Neodiprion lecontei: one gene and its partner. The protein of the gene in region 1 purifies or fractionates together with the protein of each later gene. This does not show direct contact. Links are inferred from orthologs where the notes say so. Each region holds a gene or a part of one and is shown in the gene's direction. Other genes may lie near its edges.

Region 1 (10,330 bases):
AAAAATGAGGGCATTCTTTTCAAATTATTTGGAGTCGATATAGGGAGCGGCCTGGAAAAAAATCGTTAATACCCTCAATAAGTAGTAAGTGCCGTCCTAGTATACACATGTGTATCTTGTATACGTACATATTATGTACGCTGCGCGGCACTGTTTACAATGCCAAAAAATTTCGCCAATTTTTTTTTATCAATAATAAAATGAGAATTTTCTAATTCTCGTTCCCGTCGTTTTTTTTTTTCCCTAACCAAGTTTGAAATTTCGCTAACATTTCCATGATTCCCTGACCCCCCCCCCACACAAATTTCGTGGTTCTCCTTCATCGTGGCCACCATGTCTTAATAATATTCTGAAAACAGAATTTTGACCGCAAAGCGGGCGTTTTAACACTAATTTACAATAAACGTTTCATGCCATGTGAATAGAATCTAAGATTCGCTAAAATGCTAAAATCAAACTTCGAATCACAATACAAGAAGGTAATTTCGTTGAACATTCTTTGCTGATACTTTTTTTTCATCCTCCCAACTACTCCAAAACCTGTTTTTCAAGAGCGTGTATCTCAGCAAAGAATAAATATTTCTCAGATTTTCAAACGCGAAACGAAAGGTGTATTCTTTTAATTTCGAATAAAAAACGTTATTGAGAACCATTCGACGCGTTCAGATTTTATTCATATTTTAAATTGTTTCATTTTATTTTTGGCCCACTGTAGGACGCCTGTGTTAATAATGAAAAAAGGATGTGGACCGCAGGTTTTTTTCATTCTGTTGTTATTACATCAGTAACCGAAACCGTGAAACATAGGTGTAAAGTAACATGCCCGCGGCCTCATACTTATAGAGGGAAATCAAAGGGGCGACAAGAATTATTCTTTTGATGAGAGATCTTCGAATGTGCCACTCGTCAAATTCGCAAAGCCAAACCCGTATACGTTGAATAAAAAGATGCCAAATAAGAAGCAATTAAATATGTGTATAACAAAATTCGACATAGGAATCAAGGATAAAAAGGCAAAAATTTCCGACGTTGGTCCCTGGGCATCGAAATCACTACCGGCGAGTGAAGTGTACGTGTGCATAGGAGTCATACTGATGTGAAGGGGGCGATGGAAGAAAGAAAGGAGTGCAGAAAAAGAAATTGAAAAGTTTGACGATTCCGAATAAATGTCAAGGAAATTGAACAGCCAGCTGTGACTTACCTTGTAAACCGTTAACAATCTGTAGGGCAATAAGGGCAGCAGCGAAAATAATTAGAAAAGCTCCCGATGTAACAAAGCCGAGGTGATTTCCCATTGTCGTCACTCTCGTTAGTATATTCACACCGTATCTACTCTCCGCACTGTCTGTCGACTTTCACTCGAGCTTGTGGAGAAAAATTTGTTTAGTAGGTTGTACGAAGCCGCGAACAAGGTATAGGATATGTAGATAGAAACGGATTCAAGCAAGCTGGAAGGGGAGATACCTAGTGGTGATGGAAACGGTGCACCGACTAGCAGCGAGGGTAACTGTAGTTCAGCGACGAGTGGAAGGGACGCTCCGAAATTCCCATAGGACTTATAAAGATAGACTGATTGTGAGCGCTCCTATAAGATGCACTGACAATTACATATAAAGGACAGAGATATACCGGGAGTACTGCTCCTCTTTTCAATCGGCGTCATGGTGGGAGACAACGGAGCAGTGAAGTAGAACAGCTATAGATATAGGAGCATAATTTCGCCTCATCTCCTCTTCCGCCTCGATCCCCGCCACAAATATCGTCAAAGAGAGAAAGGAATACTCCCAGCATATTTCTGTCCTTTAAATGTTTTCTTCAACCGGCTCATAAGAGCGCTCAGTCCAGTCAGTCCGAATACTGCGCCAGCTTCGTCTCTTGCGGGTTTCGGCTCTTTTGCTTTTACTTTTTTCTTAACTTTCAACGACCGATTTTCTGCTGACGAATCAAATGGAATTTTAATTCTATCTCATGATACAGGTCTATTTTTACGATACTTAGAATGGCCCTGGATGACCCGATGACCTGATCCAATCTGACTTCTCTACCCAACGAAAATGCAGATAATTCTCTTACGCGATCTGACAAATTATCGTGCCGTAGTGTTCAACAGGTTACGCGCGTCGGATAGCCTTCGGTAAGGCGTAATGGTAGAAGTGATGTATGCTGCCTACGGTAAGGCGTATTGGGTTAAGCGGCTGATTGCGAGCAACAGGTGTGATTCGGAAGGGTTACTTGCATCCGAGATCAGTCGTAGGAATTACTAACGAAAATCCCTGACAAAAGACTTGATTTAAATTCAGATAACCTGTTTTATTGCGAATAATATTTAAGTGCTTGAAGCGACACGATACTGAATCGGTTGTATTGCCTCGCAATTACGAGAAATAGTAATTGCTCGTTCGAGTCATATTGACCGTATAATTAACATTTTCATCTAATTTTCCACAAGAAAAATACATGAATCATATACAATCTCCGTATAGGATTCTAATCAGATTCAACAATCTTGCAACAAATTTCTAATTATACATTCGCTGGCATAACGGTGATACGCAACACAATTGCGCAAAGCACAGCAAAAAGAGAAAATAGGAATATATTTTTTACAAAAAAAAAAAGAATCAGTAGATAAATTTCATTCGCATGAACTAAATATATCGTTTTGTCGTACAAAACTTCAGTGCCTACTGAAATATTGTACTGAGGTATCAACGAGATGCTGTATACAATCATATACAATAGATTGGCGCGTAATTACACCTGATCAACAATCGTTGCCATGAGGAGTTGATTTATTTACAGCTGTAACAGCAGGCAAATGTATGTACGAATATCAGTTCAAGCCGACAGTCAATAGAAATTCGTGGCTAACCTCGTAAATAACTTATTAAATACACGGTGAGTAATTTTGTGAGAAGAGAATCATTTCTATTTCTCACAATTTCACATTTTTTTAATCACCGAGTTAAATATAATTACGCGGGTGAAAACGAAGCTGCGGAACGAATTTGTTTAACATTGTACAAAATTTGTAAAACTGCTACAAACTTTCTTCACCAACGTCCGTTTCTCGTTTTTCATCACAATTCATCTCTCTCTGTGAAATCATCGTCCTCCGTGAATTCATCCTCACCAGATACAGTGTCCGAACAGAAGTTTGCCACATCCGTACAGACCTTGACATCGATGTCTTTAGTTCCCTTGCTGAACAACTGGACTATATCATCTTCAAACTCATCAACGATGCCTTCGCACTGAAGAGGGAATAAGGAAACAGGTTTAAATCAAGGTAAAACACGACTTGGGCTAATGATAGTTTGTCACAATTAAAGAATAACTCCGCTCTGCTTACATAGAATTTGAGGCTTTTGTTCAAATCTCCGTCTTGAACAATGTCCACTTTGCTGATGTCAGGATTCATTCCTCCGGTAGGATCCATTATTCTTAGAAGCGTAAGTTGACCGGTTGATTTGTACGTAGCTCTGACATAGTCGTCAAGTTTGGCGCATATACTGTCGAGCATGTCAGAAATGTGCACTTCAGATCTGGCGAGAGGAATCTATTGAAAAATAATATATTGAACAAAAATATTGATCAATCAAAGCGTATCAGCAATATAATCGAGCAAAGAAAATTCAGATCACAGATTGACAATCAGTATATCTTATCAATTTGGTATCAGTTATCGTAGCTGACAGTTGACAGCTGAGCCAATTAGCTATATTTCTATCAATACCAGGCTATCATAATTCTTCTACTCATCTCGGATCAATCAAATTTATGAAATCAAGACACATGGAGAAACGGTAAGAGGCTACATGTTTACGTACAGACTTTTGTTTCACATTTCCATTTGCGTCCAGTCGGTAGTTACCAACATCAATGGAAACTGATGGATCGATTTTAGCTATTTCTGCCTCCAGCTCATCCATGGTAGTTCTGCAAACTAAAGGCAAATAATTATCAATAGATCCAAGATCTTTTGTTCGGACGTTGATATTTTTTTAGCTACTCCTTTGATGTTCAATGTTTTCACAACGGTTAATGAAAACTTTTTTCATTCCTTTCGAATAAAACTTTCATTTTTTCCGCACCTAAACATTGTAGCTGTTTGCTGTCAATTTGCTGACTCTGGGTAAAAGCTCCGATACCTAGGCACAGTACTGATATTATCGTCAGGAACATCATCGTCTGCAACAGTAGAGTAAATAATGATGTTAAAAACAATATCAACAAGTACACAAAGCGACAAGACGAGATGGTCAGATCCCTTCACTGTTAACCTTGAATAAACCCTGGTATATGTGGATATTTATAACCATACCAGTTTCCTGTAAACTCTATCGAAGTCAGAGCTACGCAAATCACCTGCTAAACTTAGGCGAGGAACCTGCACGTTAAACTGCGGCTAATCCGCATAGGAAGCCTGCTTTAAACTACCGTGATCATCTCGCGAACGCACGACACGTGTAATCTCATCGCCCGTTACCGCTTCGCTACACGCTCTCAATTCCGATTGGTCGACTACTAACGCCCGGCCGCCACTACCGTCCAATGAAAAACGATAGTTTCCTGTGTCGAGAGGTCGAGTGGTGACCGACGGGAATAGAAAGGAAATGAAACATCTAACAAAAGTTTCATTGTTGTTACAGTTGTCAAACTTTAACCGACAAATTTTACTCTGTCAATTGATGAACTATCAAGACTTTTAACTTTTACATTGGGCTTTTGTGTGCATCTACACCGGGTGTCGGGTTGTAATAATTTACGGGGATATTACCGGGATTAAGATGTTCGTTCGATATTTTACCACTTGTCAGTTAAATGCGAGTCGTAGTGGTGTTCGACTTTTGAAAGACAATTTTGCCCAACACCGCGCGCACGCGTGTTTTTGTAGCGACTGGTCGGTCACATTTCACTTTGTATCGTCGTGCCAACCGGACGAGACAACTTACAGAAATCGACGGCATCGTGAAATAATAAATGTAATTAATTAATACGTGCGAGAAAGGGAATTGATCAGTAGATGTCGAATGAGCAGCGATGTCGATAAAAGCCGATAGGTCGAAATGATTTTATAATCGGTAATAAAACTTTTTAGTGATTTGAAATCGCTGATAAAAGAACAAAAAAGCGAGTGACGGCTATCAATGGTACATACATACCCATATGCACTGTGGAGAGGAAGGAAAAAGAGGCTCACGCACAGTTCGTCTTCGGTTGATCAGATCCAATTGGCCTGCGTACCGGAACGACACGCGTGGCCGTACGTACACACGTTTTATTCACGAGTAAAAGGGGTTTCCAGCGATTTTATCATGAATTTGAAGAGAAAATAAGGCAATAACGGAAATCGTAAACATTTGGTCCTCGGTATTAATCATTAGTTAAGAAACAAAAGCTGACTACAAAGGAAGAAGAGGTTAGCTATGGCATGTTTGCCGGGGATATCGGAGTTCGTAATCGGCGCGCAAACGTCGCTCGGACTGATCGACCAATCGGAGGCGAGCTCGGGCCGAGCCGCGGGCGTCGGGCAGCATGAAAATGCAGCTTCGAGCCGAGGGAAAACAGTTGCCAAGTACGGACGAGTCCATTAGCTCGCGCAATGGGGGTGATCGTCAGTGACGCCGCAGAGTCGATTCCTAATTTAGATGCAACGCGGCTGACGCGAGTCAAACTCCAGCGGTTATTAGGTGAAATAACAGTGAAAATGTGATCCTGGCTCGGTCCGAGACCAGCCTCCGCTTATCCGTTTGATAAATCGTCAAAGTGTTGTCGGAAGGACAAGCCCGTCACCCCTCCGGGCTCGTTTGAGTTCGGCCGTATTCGCGGCTGACCCGACAGTCTTCAATCGGTCACCTGCATGAGCGGACCAGTTTACCCGTAAGATGTGTCAAGATTCATCACACAAGAACAATAATAATAATCGCTATTTTATTGGTGAATATTTCCAAGTGTCGACGTCAACGGAAAGTGCAGTTTTATACGCTCTGATTGAAATTAAAGTGAAATTCAAGCGGCTGTCAGGTATGTAAAATTGTGGTCATCACTGATTTGAAAAAAGAGAATCTCCCCCCTCCCACGTATGCATTTCACCCTTGAAAATTCACTGACGCAGTCATAAAACTAGGCAATCGTGAGCATCGAATGTATAAAATAATCCGGCACATCTGAGCCAGGATTAAAAAAAAAAACTGCGTGTCGCGTATCACCGCGGTGACAGAAATATTGTTTGGGGGGGCCGGGCGGAGTGACATAATGTCCCGTGTTGCGTTACTACGTCATATGGCAAAACTCTAACGTATTTTTCAATTAGAAGTTAAAAACTTCCTCGAGGATCGTGCTCCGTCCGCATATCGTTACTCCCGTTCCTCGCTGCACCAATTTGCATATTTTCGTTGATGTATGAAAATCACGGTCTATCGTTTGTCCACTTTCTTACGATTAACCCAGAGGCAAGCAGAAGGCATATTTGTATAGTTCAAGCAGCTAACCGAGTACCTACAGACTCGTAGCTTCGCGTGCAGCAGCGGGAACACTTGGCATCGCCGCAGCCGCGTTATGGAGAAGAAAACATTCGGATCCGCGGGAGCCTCGTTCGAAATAATCGTTCGTTTCGCGTAATACCCAACCGAGAATAATATAAATCCGTCGGATTTTTCACCCACTTTAATAATTGAAATTTACCTGTTGTCGCATTCTGTCGTTGAATAATTTTACTGGAATGAGAGTAGTTGCTCACACGCGTACGCATGCCACAGATTGACAGATGATTACCACGAACTATTTTAGAAAAATCAGAACAGAACATCGCCTACTAGAGTTTTAGCCATCGCAATGCAGTGCGACACAATTCGATTAGGGATGTAGGTTTTTTCATTTAAATTTGAGTGAAAAGCGCGTACGATGTAATTTTGCGTGAAAATAATTGAATCACGATGAAAAACGTCCGCCCTACGGACTGTCATATTGATATCGGTGGCTTTTTCATATAAGATACTTTCTTTATCATGTTGTATCCTTGCAGCCAGTTGTGCGACTACTATGTGCGGTGATTAATCTCCTGTGAACAACATCCGTAATTGCAAACGCGTTATACCCGCATTGCGTACCTATGCAATCGGTTGGGTGAGTGTTTAGAGAAGGAATTCATCGCCGAACGTATTTGTTGTTATACGTTTTTCGTCTCTGTTTCGAGCGAGAGCCCATCGTTTGGCTCGCCCGCGCGTTTCGCGTAGGACCGCGGGATGCGCGAATGTGAGAGAAGCGACCACCAGCCACGCAGAAACGGAACGCACGCTTCAAATATCGATTCCGGTGCACACGCCGCCGTATAATAACGATGGCTCTCCCGGCCTCGCGCCTCGTGCTGCGTACATCGTCGCCGTCGGGTTTGCGCGCAAAATGCGAAGAATCACCATGAAACAACGGGAAAAATATACATGCGCACGCTTCCGTATATCCAACCGCTATTATATTCCAATGCATAATTCACGAAATTTAGTACCGCGTTAAAATACCAACGATACGAATGTCAGAAAGAGAAATTTCCCAACATCAAATTCAACGAATATTTATTGAGAATTTGCACAACACTGACTACGAAGAAAGCCGCCGCCGCTGCTGCTGCTGTTGCTGTTGCACAGGTACGCGTGATTTGACAGGCCAAGTAGGTAGTTCATCGGTTGCCTGAATAAGCTTCGGACACATAAACGCGCGTGCGCACACTGCCACAATAATTCGCGGTGGAAAATCCAAAGCTTTGAGTCGACGAAGGATAGAAGATTGATCGTTGGCTATGTGTGTACGTACTACTCGATGCAGGACCTCATATTATGGAACGAGAGTATGTTGCGTGGGGGAGGAACTACTTTTGTCATATTCTCATGGCGTGTGCCTTAGAACGGCTCTCTGTCCACTAAAAAGACTGGCTCCTCAGGGCCGTCGATACAAAAAAATTTCTCTCCGTTCCCCTGTCCCTCACCAACTCCCGCGTCGTGTCGCGGTGCAAAGCGCGGGAACCACGGCCTCTTCGACGTTGCGAGTATTTTCTTTAACGAAATTTCGTACCGAACTTTTGACGTCTGTCCCATTTATTCAGGCATTTACTACTTATTGTTGAGAGTATTTGGAATCTGTAAATTTGTAATTGAACAAACGAAGAAACGTTGTCATATATCTATAAGTATAATGCATATACTTTCATGTGAATCAGATCTTTTAGTAAAACGAACATCAATTACAGCCTAATTGTGACGAATTACCATACATAAACGGCACATCCACGTGTAACTGGGAATATCGATACGGCGATGCCATCAATTTATTCACGAAATAATGGCAAATTGATTGTGGTCCGTTACGGCGTTTGATTAGTCATATATTAACGTCCGTCAGTTCAAAGATTTTCGCCGATTTTGGAGTTTGCGATACAGGAAGACTCCTGACAAAGCGGACCCATCGAATAATCGCACTATTAATACCTTTCTCTGTCATTTGCTAGCTTCAATGCAAAAGCTTTTCAAAGGTAATTCTAAAAAAAGAATGGAATACCATACAAAACTACGATACAGGGAATTGATGGAACGCAACCACGCACAGCTTATACTCTTTTGTACATCTTTTGAATTTTTAGAATCTATTGAATTCAATTAGAAAATTTCACTTCGTCCAATTTGTGGGTATCCCTATGAAACTGATTTTTAAAGTCGCTTGCAATACGAGTACGAATATGTAATACCAAGATAAACGTTACCCAGTGTCAAAGTTAGTGACACATCTTCTCGGGGGGTAAAAATCTGTCATTGTCGAACGCAAAAGTCCCTCATCTCGCGTGCGTGGACTTGGTCCGCCAATCCGTTGACTCCTCTCTCAAACCCGGGCCAATACGGTACAGCCTTACGTATATCTTTCGACCAGTAGCGTATATTTTCTTTTATCCACGAAAAATCGGGAGACCATCCTTTCAGCTATTCCCCGCATCTTCTGGAACGTAAGACGAGTTAAAATTTCTGGCATTTTTATTTTGACATGTACAAGTTTATTCGCAAAGAAATAAAACGAAATGACAAATGTCGACGCCACGCGTATGTTTCGCCGCTGGGTACGGCCCTGGCAACGGCGAGGGGCTAAAGGATCAGCGGTGGGGATATTTCGCTCCCGAGCAGCAATAGAAACATACGTATATGCGACGAACGCGGGCTCGCGGCAACGCTGTATTTCTGATTATCGGGAGAGCCGCGCGCGCACGGTCGAAGGCTCACCTCTGCGTCTCTGCCTCTGACTGGACTCGCGCTACGACGGACGACGTGGCTGCGTTGTCACATTTTTTCGTTAGCGGCCAAAATAAGACCGACTTCGGGGCTTCTTCTCCTTCGTCTTCTTTCGTTTTTTTTTTTTTTATTTCTCCTTGTTCTTTCCACCTTCCCCGGCTTGTTGATACGTTACACAGATGGAAAGCAGCAAAATAGTAGTCGTCGGAACCGAACTCCCCCACCTGGTATTCCATCCCCACCTCAATATCTAATAACTGACGATGATACAGCTTTTACACACCTCGGGCTACATGCATATATGCGGCAGATAACTACCACGCGCGGACGGGCCTCCCCCTCTCCACTCTCTCTCTCTCCCCCTCCCCCCCTCTCCCTCCCCCTCTTTCTCTCTCCCTTTCCCCACTCCCTTGTCATCCGTACTCGAAATGATAGAATAACGAAGAAATAAAAGAGAATAACCAAAATATCCGGTGAAACAACGGAATCCCTGGTGACGATAGTGTGACCGCTGCAGGAAATGTACGTAAAAATCGAAAGGGCGTGCTCGAGGTGTGGCGACGGGCGTCAGCGTCGACTAGGTGACACAACAAGCCTGGTTGAGAGCGAGCGATGGATGGCGGCGTCGGGCTTGCTTACTCGGACGAGGGACAGACAGCTAGAGAGAACTACTACCGTGATGCACCCCCAACCTGACGATGATGCTTCGTCCGTTTTCGTCCCTCTCGCCCAGTTCGGTCATTGGCGCTTATCCGAATGTCGACCGTATGTGGCTGTCCATATGGAGACGAGAGAGAGCAAGGTTGCTGTTGTATCGTAAGATATCGCACGAACCCTAGCTTCGATACCTGTCTGAACAAAACAAATACATAGCTATATGTATAAGTATCCTTCGTGTACTTTTCGGGAAAAGTTTTTTTTTTCTATTTTACACTTGAGAAGTAGCTCACGGATTGAGTTTAGCTGAATGCCCCTCCTCGCTCACTTATGTCCGGATGGATGACCTCCTACTGTCTTTTGCGCTGGTATTCTTTGATCGCGTACTACGCTAGTTTCAG
Region 2 (10,453 bases), on another chromosome or scaffold:
AGCGATTTTCGATACCGCGAAGTAAAATAGATCTACACACCGTGTACGGCATGGCGAAAATCGGTGCTCGAATCCTGCAGCGCGGTGTCGGTGTGCATACATGTGGCAAAGTAAGACCGTTACGAAACGCATCGGAAATGTCTTCGAGGCGTAGGTATAGGTACCGCGTTGTTCTTCCGTACATTAACATTACCCTACGTTTATGGGAGGTTGCGCGACGACGACGTGCTTCACAAAGCTATTCGTGCCTTAGGCTGACACACCCTGTATCGGAATTGATGAAAAAATTTCCAAGGTGTGCATATCAAGCTCGCATGGCGCGTGCAAAAATTACCGGAATAATGCGTGTGTTTGTCTAACCGCATATTACCCTAATCGGGAAAGATAAGTCGCGATACTTTTCAATTCTTGATAGGCAAGAAATTAGCACGAACTTATCAGCATTTTGACAAATTTGACTGAGCTGTTCGTCAAGTTTTAATTAATCATCACAACCGAACGGGATCGACCAAAATTGTAAGGATCGAGATGAAATATTACGTCCAATGTAGGTACAGACGCTTAAATAATTCAGTACACCGTGTGCGGCTAGTTCCTGGAACTGATTTCTAATCACCTTGGTTTTCTTGTTAGTTACGCCGGTATGATTTTTGTTTTTCCTTTCGATCCTCTTTCCCCTTATCGTCACAACCCAACGCGATATTTACCTCGGGCTACAGCATAAGCTGGGTACGGGATTGAGCTCGGCTTCAACCGGCAATTCGGCCGTATCTTAATACACACCAATCTTAACACACACCAAGAACTGAAACCCTAATTGGATTTTCAAGAGGACAATAACCAGGAAAAACAGACAGCTTGCGAAATAAGCCGCATAATGGGTGAAGTGGAATCGACGCTTGGAGCTCCGTTCAAGTTGTGTTATTCGTACCCCATGTATATACTGATACAAAATTACGGTAGTCGGATGTTAAGACTAGCCAAAGAGTGTCCATATCTCTGCTGCTGCGTGTATGGGCGTATGTGCGTGCGTGTATGTGGGTGTATCGGTGTAGTGGAATATCATCGATAAATACCTTGTGACAGCCGAGTTTTGGTAGAACGCGGGTTTGGCTCGACGAAACTTATAATATCCAATATGACGGTGGTTATAATCGTAATCGCGTGGCACAAGACCAATCGCCGCCGTTTATTTTCACTGTAAACTTATCAACTTACAGGTATAGCTGCAGGTACCAGAACGATAAAAGTTTGAAAACTATCAACTCCGTCAACAAGTGTCAGTCCCGACGTCACACTCTACTCACCTATATACAATACGGCACAGAGCAACGGAGTTTTGGGCGGACCTCGGTCCCACTCATTGTCGACTGGAAATACCTGTGCCGTACCTCTATACCTGACGAAGCCCCAGGTAAACTTGGGCGGGTGTCCCCCTTCTTCACCCCCTTCGACCCACGGACAGGTAGCAAATGAAACGAACCACCTCATTGGTCGAGGTGGAACGGTACCGAGCTTTCCATTCGTCGAGACCTGCGACGGAGCTCGGTACGATCGGTTAGAAGAGGTCTTAGGTTTACCTGGGCCACCGATAGCGGATTCTCGGCTTGCCCTGTAGCGCTCACAAAGGCGGCAAAACAATAAACGACAGTCGTGGGTATTTGCTTGCTCTGGCCATTGAATTCAAGCCAAATTTTACCTGCTCGTATTTCTCGGAACATGGAAGGCATAAACTTCTTTTATTACGGCAAGAACATACTACAGTTAAAGTCCAAACTGTTTTCTTCGCGGAAGGTATTTAAATGGAGTCGGTGAAAGAATTTGGAAGCTCCAACTTTGAAAACTGTACCCGAGATTCTTTCGGAATAGGATGAAGTCAAGATAAAGTAGTAACGTTACTGTAACGGTGCATGTTGACGAAAAATCGGTACTTCGCATTTATAGGAAAGTCCGAGATTTGGTAAACCATTGTAAACAAAATATACTTCAATTTTGAAAAGCCAACTCCTTGAGAGTAATTTTTCAATCGCTTAACTTCAGTCTGATTCTTTCGGAGGATACAGTCAAGGCTGTTGCATTACAATTTTCGCATCCATGAATCGTTATTAGCTAACGATAATCCAGTGTCGATGGGAGAAAATTCGCTATTTTAAAAACGTCCTCTAAAGCCGAAGGATGTTTTTCAGACAATTTGAAAGTCAAAGCCGAAAAAACGTAGTCCTGATATTTTTTTTTTTACCATATTTCAATTTTGCTGTGGCCATATTACAAGTTTTTACGAAATCGATTGAATTCGGTCAACTACAGCTTGACTGTATTTCTAATTTCCAGAATTGGCTTTTCGAATTATGCAGAAGTGATTTCTGAACAAATTTTGGCAATGAATGGCCCACAACAGCTGCTTTAAGAATTGAAAACAAAATGAGGAGGATGGTTACGAAGAAATTCAGGTTGTCAATTTTTCCGACGCCGTTTGAACGTTCGATAGCAGGATTTCGTTGGTAAATTATAAATCTTTCAACTCGTTAAGCAGAGTACGTATTATCTGAAAATTAAATTTCAAACGGTACTCTTAACGAACACTTTCTCGTTAAATTGACAGGAAACTTTATTCGTGTAGTATAACTTTAGACATTCGATACACGCAATATATTCACGGATACTCTGTACAGATAGATATATGCATGTGTGTTGTTTGACTTTCCAACCATATTCTATAAATAAACTATGCAAATACTAATTATTTATACGTCATTTTCATAATCCTTGGGGTTCTTCCTTTGAAGGCGAGCGTGTTCCTTTTCTGCCCAGTCGTAGACCAAGTAGGCTATTAAAAAGGCTTTAACAAGAAAATTTTTCATCTTAGACATTACAGACACGACTGGTTTGAATCTAATCACACAGTCTCGTACGACTTTGTTGAGATACTTACGTGGGCCCATTGTAAACAAGTTCTCCTTTATCCTACGAAATACATTCGGTACACCATGAGATATCGCACCTGCGAATGCCCGCTGCTCGTACGGACTAAGTCGGTAATAAATAATTCCTCGCAGCTTGTACAGGTTTCCAAATACCTTTCCCATCCTGCCAACTGTCTGTGGAAAATATCTGATTTACGTTAAGCTGTTATTTTGTGTGGCGAGTGGTGTGTATACGACAGTTACCACACGAGCGAGGGGGGGGGGGGGTGAAAAGGTGTGTGGAATTGGTGTAGAAAGAAGGTGCCGAACACACTTTTTTGCAAAATGAATCATTCCGCTGGACATTCTTATCGGTCTGATGGCTATGAATATTCTAATGACAACAGAGAAATTGCAACAGAAGACGTAAAGCATCGACTGACTGGCAAATAACGTAATTCAGTACGTAGCCCTCTCTGTGACCAACCTAACAGTCACGTCCGAATTACGTAAGAAGAAATACGGTAAAAACGGCAAACGGAATACCGCGGAGAAACTCATCGAGTATTAAGTTAGATAACTCTATCGTTTTTCGAATAAATTATGTAATTATTTGGTAAAGACACCTACCCCTTGCGCAGAGAGCACACGTCGAGTCTAATGGAAAGAAGATACCGACTTCAGACGGGTAGACAAAGTGCACCAACACGAAGAAACGAAACTGAGGAGCGAGTGGCCAGCAGTTCTGCCAACGTTGACTCACTCGGGATACTATTTTTTTCACGGATCTTTCGCAACTGACCAATGAAGGATCGCTGAGCCAGTTTGCTGCCTAACCAACATCGACGATTCAAACGATCAATCTGTTTTCATCCGTAGAATTGACGACGCCTCGTATGCTCCGTAGAGTCTTGAGAGATGAACGCAATAAAACGCAGGTATAACCTCGACGGCAGTTTCTCCGGTGTGGCCGAAAGCTCAGTCAATGGCGTGAAGGTATCAGCCATGTTGGCGGTGAGGATTGAGGAAGCGCCGATGGAAGAAACACGGGAGAAAAACGCATTCGGTTGTCGCATGCGCGCAGAGGTTGGTTCTCGAGCAGCGTGATAGTGGAACAAGTACTGAATGCATACGTACGTGCCAGACGGACTGGTGTGAGTACCGAGCAGCTCTGCCTATTAGAATCGTTCTATAGTTCCTACATAGAACCCGAGGAGTTGTGTGCGGACGGACGGATTGTCACATCGGTAACGGTCATATATACGACATCCGTAGCCATGGCTGCGCTAAAAACATTGACGAACAAGTTTTTCCAATTAATACCTGAGTAGTACCGAGTTTCCTAATCGATCCCCACACTATTGTCACGTGCCACGGTGTATTGGTGATTCCCGAGTGAAATCCACGGGGGAATTTAACATACCAAAACTTTGCCTATATGTCCTCGTTGGTGGTGTGCATTCGTTGTGTGACGAAATTACGTGATGGTCTCTAAGGTGGATGTAAATATCGGGTGCGAGGCTCGGTTTGGTACTTATCACGCTAAAGATATGAGTGAAAAAGGTGACAAGGATTTTGAGTTCGCTATACCACCAGAGGCCCCAGTCTTTGAGCCAACAGCGGAGGAATTCCTCGACCCCCTTGGCTACATCTCCAAGATTCGTCCGATTGCCGAAAAATCGGGAATTTGCAAAATAAAACCACCGCCAGTGAGTAATTACAACGATGCGACAGCCCTCCCCGCCTCACCCCTCATCTAGGAGGCCTTTCGCCCTTTATCGTCCCCCCCCTTTCCCTATGCCGTAGAGATGTTAAAATCCAGCGTCGACGAACCGTATGTGTTTGGGGGCTTTGAGAAAGGAAAGCGAAAAGTGATGTAGATGCGATAAAAATGTGTAACAAAAAAAAAATACTATGTACACACACGCGCTCACACCCTCTTTGGATGGATACCTTATTGTTCGGGATGAAAAAAATCTCCCACAATCACCCGTATCCACATGGGCTAGAGTTGTACGATTGAATACGCGATGAAAGGAACAAATGCGGAGTAAATAAATAAATAACATTGGCAGAAACGGGATTCTGTTTGTCGATTTGCTTTCTCATTGCTCTGACGATGCTAACATTGGACGTTAATTTTGGGAAATCGCGTAAACAAATGACATCTAGGTATATTAAATGCTGCGTCTTCTCGACTGTTCCTGTGACTGACATAACGTTTCGTCATTATCTCACGTCCTCTCACAAACGTTAATGTCGCACTTTTACAGTTGTAAACTGTCATTAGAAATATTCTTCCGGAAGAATAATTAATTATTGTTGTATTTGGTGTCGTTTTTCTTTACTGACCGATTTTCTTTCTTTCTTTCTTTTTTTTTTCTTCTCTTTTTGTTTTTCGAACACCTATGCTACCTCTTTCTTTCTACTCGGGCGAAACTACCACCGATGTTAATCTCACCAGCGTGTTACATCCACAAACTATAGCTATATCGATGCACATAATGGTCGTTCGTCATTTTACGATTAGCAAATTACTAGATGAATAAATTTTTATCGCAGCCGCGATACGCTTATCATCGAGAAAAATTTGAAATGGTGTAAACCGAGAAAATCGGAAACAACAAATAAAAACAAGAAACGTCAATCCAACGACGATGTTTATACGCATACATTATTACCTGTAACGATAAAATCGATCGAAGTTGTTATACCTGATACAGCCATTATTTTTCTTGCATTAAATGTCAAATGAGTTGCAAACCTCGGAAAATAAATCGCCGTGAGAGCATTCGGTCAATACGTAATTCCGTTACTCAATTTACAAGCGTCTGACGATTGTCGAATCCGTCGAAAGAAAATGAAAGATGATGTCCATTTTGTTTTATGTAGGTATAACGGACATTGCATATCCGTGCGCGTACTGTAAAGAAAAGAAAGGTGAAAAGTAATCAACGGCAAACGAAGAGCTGTCGTTGTTTATATTGCGAATGCCCCTGTTAATTGTGTCTTATTTCTTCTCTAAACAAGAAATTATACGTTACGCTTGCATTACCATTTTATCAATCCAAGAGACAAATCCTACCTCACGTCTGCTATATCCAATAATTTAGTAAAGTAGGAGTTTGCGAACCGAACCGAAAACTAAGGTCGGCTTCAACTGTCGAGATTTGAAATTAGAACAAAACAGTAATCCAAATGCATCCGTGTTTTATTGCCATTGCTAAGGGCAAAGGGCGAGCGTCAGAGGGGCGGAAGGGGGGAGGACGCTTACCGTTATAGATTCGGCGTATAATTTGTATGACGAAACATGCGATTGCATAGTTTAAAAATAAACGGGAAAAACTATAATAGAATTTTCACCATTTATTATGTAATTGTCAACAGTCGAACCACTATGTACAATAAATTTTTCCAAAACTGTAAAATGTTTAATTCCAATTTACAAACTAAAGAAAATAAGTAAATAAGTAGAACCAAGTTTCCAGTTTGCTCATTAAATTCAATATTTTTTTTTTTCCACAGAATTGGCAACCACCTTTTGCCGTTGACGTTGACAAATTCAAATTTGTACCAAGAATTCAGAGGTTAAACGAACTTGAAGCAAAGACCAGAATAAAGCTGAATTTTTTAGATCAAATAGCCAAATTTTGGGAGCTTCAAGGATCATCGTTGAAAATTCCACTGGTTGAACGTAAAGCTTTAGACTTGTACTCCTTACACAGAATTGTCACCGAGGAAGGTAAAGGATTGTTTTTATCGTCCTTTCCCAGTTACCTGTGATTTAACGATAATACTAATACTTTGTAATATTGTTTCATAGGTGGCATTGAAACAGTTACTAAAGAAAGAAGGTGGGCAAAGATTGCAAACAGGATAGGATATCCATCCGGTCGAAGCGTTGGAAGTATTTTAAAAAACCACTATGAAAGAATTTTGTATCCCTTTGATGTTTTCAAGCAAGGGAAAACCTTGACTGACATTGTAAGTATCTTCAGCTTAAATTTGCAACTGACTTATCAATGTAGTGTTTATTCATTTAATCAGTAATAAATCATTTGTACTGTCTCCAAAAGAAAACAGAAAAAAAAAAACGCGTTGGCCTCCAGACATTTTATGCAGAGCTGATGGTACAATTTTTGTTTATTTTCAACTATGTGAAGTTCCTGAATTGGACTCTATTAATCAAAAACAAACATTAAATGGTCCAAAGCTTACCCTAGTATTGTGATTTTTTTTTAGAAAATTGAGCCAGAGGGTGACGTGAATGAAAAAAAGGACAGGGATTATAAGCCTCATGGAATAATATCGAGACAGCAAATAAAACCACCAAATGAAAAATTTTCACGGCGTTCCAAGCGATTTGCTGGTACGGATGAAAAACCAGAATTAGTCACAGACAGCACATCACCTATTAAGCAAGAAGATTGCAAAGATGAGTGCGACTCTGACAATGAAAAGGATAAAGATAACAGCAAAGAGCTTAAAAAATTGCAGTTTTACGGACCTGGTCCGAAAATGGCCGGTTTTAATACCAAAGATGTAAAAAAGCCTAGCAAAACCAGAGGCGTCAAATTACACTATGATTTTGACCCGGTAAGTGAATTCAATTTTTCACGTGTTGAGAAATAAATAATTGTTTGTTTATCGGTGTATTACAGCTTACTAAAGATCTCCTATATTTTTGCACATTCTTATTCCTTTGTCCTTTTTTTTTTTCACAGCTTGCCAAATACATTTGCCACAACTGTGGTAGAGGCGATACAGAGGAGAGCATGCTGTTGTGCGACGGATGCGACGACAGCTATCACACCTTCTGCCTTATGCCACCATTAACCGAAATACCAAAGGGTGATTGGCGATGTCCAAAATGCGTCGCCGAAGAAGTCTCAAAGCCTATGGAAGCCTTTGGATTTGAACAAGCTCAGCGTGAATATACGCTGCAACAATTTGGCGAAATGGCCGATCAGTTCAAAAGCGATTACTTCAACATGCCTGTACACGTAAGCATCATATTTTCATTCAATTTCAAATTACTCTCTCGAGTTACGTCTTTAAACGGTAATTTTTTTCAGATGGTACCGACTCCTTTGGTCGAAAAGGAATTCTGGCGGATTGTTTCTTCGATAGATGAAGATGTGACCGTCGAGTATGGGGCTGATTTGCACACAATGGATCATGGCTCCGGTTTCCCGACGAAGACCAGTGTCAATTTATTCACGTGCGATCAGGAGTACGCCGAATCTTCGTGGAATTTGAATAATTTACCCGTTCTACATGGAAGCGTGCTGGGACACATCAATGCAGACATTAGCGGGATGAAAGTTCCCTGGATGTACGTTGGCATGTGCTTTGCCACCTTTTGTTGGCACAACGAAGATCATTGGAGTTATTCCATAAACTATCTACACTGGGGAGAGCCCAAGACTTGGTACGGAGTTCCTGGATCTCAGGCGGAAAGATTTGAACATTCCATGAAATCTGCTGCCCCGGAATTATTCCACAGCCAACCGGACCTTCTCCACCAACTCGTCACTATTATGAACCCTAACATACTGATGAATGAAGGTGAATATTACAGGACAATTATAAACGCCCATTGAATATGGTATAAGAAAATTATCACGTTTTAACTGATCCTGCTGATTCGACATTTCGTTGTCAATTTACTCTCTTTCCTACCAGTTTTACACTTATAGATGGCAAGTTCAACAATTCACTGCATTCGGGAAAAAATTCAATTTGTCCATATCACATCTACTTGTGACAATTCTTAAAGTATTGAAAAATTCGCTTCAGTTTCACTCAGGGCACCAGTGCTATCTTTGAATGCTCCCATGACACAGGCTCCAGAGTTTTTGTCCAATATATTCGTCAGGCTGCCATATTCACTTATTGTTCGACATCTCAACGTAACATTTTTACTGTTCGATTAAGTTCCTTTGGTTCTTTCAACTTCATATTGGTCTTTGCTTTAATTTACTTCAGAAAATCGTCGATGGCTGTACTGTCCTGGACCTGGTTGCTCGCCGAGATGCCAGCATACAAATAATCCAACCCCCATGTACATAGGTATCCGATTTCCTAACAACTTCCCTCTTCACGCCATCCCCCATCCTATTTACATCACCTGCTTATTACCTTATTATCTGCTATTTTTGTGAGCAGAAAATAAAAGTTAGTTTTTTATATTAAAAACTGGGCTAATCGAACGGATATTGACGAGTTATTTTATGGCATGAATTGACATCGAATCGAATATGTTGTACATCGACTCCATGAATTTATTTAAAATGCCAACAGTTATGGGTGATAATAGTCAGAAAAGCAGCGATCAGTATAACGTTTGATAATTGTTGGAAAAAAAAAAAAAAAAAAAACTTGTTTATAGTAGACCAAATTTTACAAAAGTAATTTACAGATCGCTCAGTTTTTACTATTGATTTGTGCTAACTGAAATTTCACCAAATGGATGGATCTCATTTCATTCAATATTGACGTTGAAATCGAATGGACGCAAACTTTTCTTTAACCACTGTTACTGTCTATGTTGTCCAGGAGTTCCAGTATTCAGAACGGATCAGCATGCAGGTGAATTTGTTGTGACGTTTCCAAGAGCCTATCACGCCGGCTTCAACCAAGGGTACAACTTTGCAGAGGCTGTCAATTTTGCTCCAGCTGATTGGGTAACACATATAAGGATTGAGAATCGTCGCTCGTTTATTATGACGTGATTAGACGCCTTGTGATTTCTTTTTGTTACAGTTGAAAATGGGACGGGAATGTATTTCACATTACTCTAACTTGAGACGCTTCTGCGTTTTCTCACATGACGAACTTGTCTGCAAAATGTCTCTGGACCCAGACTCCTTGGACATCGGTATAGCCACAGCAACATATCACGACATGCTTCAGATGGTCGACGATGAAAAAAAATTGCGAAAAAATCTTTTGGAATGGGTGAGTCTTATCCCAGTTTTTATTTTTCATAATCCTTATCATTTTACTTCATTTTATTCTTATTCTTTTGCTGGGAATAAACTTCAAATCGTGATAGACTCAAGAACCGAAGTGAAAACAGTCTTTCTTTGCCTCCACAAGAGTTTCAATTCTCTCTATTTCTAGTATCGAAATTTGCTACGGTACCCTTCATCAATAGACACAGCTAATTGACAGTAAATAATATAGTTTTATCATTCCACATTAAACTTCATCATTCCAAAAAATCAGATAATTGACTGCCCTATTGATATTTCTCATTTACAACGGTTTTTTTCCAACATAAAGTTGTATTTCTTGCGACTACGATTTTCGACAACAAAATATGTTTCCAAATCAACCACTGTAAAAATTTGGAATTACCATTTACAGTAATGTTCATTAATGCCTTGGGCTTCCGGCTACCTTGTTTTCAGTCCGAAACAAAATGCGAGCTCGGTTCTATATGAATTATGTAACAATGACTGACGATGCAGCCAACGTGAGAGATTGAGAGTCATTGTCACATAATTCGTATAGAATCGAACTCGCATTTTATTTTGGACCGAAAA

What was found.
Region 2: the proteins of paired amphipathic helix protein Sin3b (region 1) and lysine-specific demethylase lid purify together in Drosophila melanogaster (affinity purification with western blotting; 3 studies listed by BioGRID, with this or other methods). This does not show direct contact. The link is inferred for Neodiprion lecontei from reciprocal best matches to the Drosophila melanogaster genes Sin3A and Kdm5.

What each region holds. Positions count from the first base shown.
Region 1 is NC_060263.1:14,435,828-14,446,157, reverse strand, and holds the start of paired amphipathic helix protein Sin3b, read left to right. Parts: upstream 1-5,239; 5' UTR 5,240-6,027; intron 6,028-7,600; coding exon of another isoform or gene 7,601-7,682; exon of another isoform or gene 7,683-7,697; intron 7,698-8,740; exon of another isoform or gene 8,741-8,985; intron 8,986-9,263; exon of another isoform or gene 9,264-9,520; intron 9,521-9,789; 5' UTR 9,790-10,088; intron 10,089-10,330. Other genes in the region: probable chitinase 2, read right to left, coding at 1,202-1,295; protein seele, read right to left, coding at 3,081-3,254, 3,353-3,559, 3,831-3,946, 4,095-4,191, 5,166-5,239, 7,601-7,682.
Region 2 is NC_060264.1:35,600,457-35,610,909, reverse strand, and holds the start of lysine-specific demethylase lid, read left to right. Parts: upstream 1-4,017; 5' UTR 4,018-4,387; coding exon 4,388-4,612; intron 4,613-6,428; coding exon 6,429-6,645; intron 6,646-6,726; coding exon 6,727-6,887; intron 6,888-7,145; coding exon 7,146-7,499; intron 7,500-7,627; coding exon 7,628-7,906; intron 7,907-7,978; coding exon 7,979-8,471; intron 8,472-9,461; coding exon 9,462-9,589; intron 9,590-9,668; coding exon 9,669-9,863; intron 9,864-10,453. Other genes in the region: cytochrome b-c1 complex subunit 8, read right to left, coding at 2,745-2,839, 2,933-3,086. UniProt on the Drosophila melanogaster protein: Histone demethylase that specifically demethylates 'Lys-4' of histone H3, thereby playing a central role in histone code. Does not demethylate histone H3 'Lys-9', H3 'Lys-27', H3 'Lys-36', H3 'Lys-79' or H4 'Lys-20'.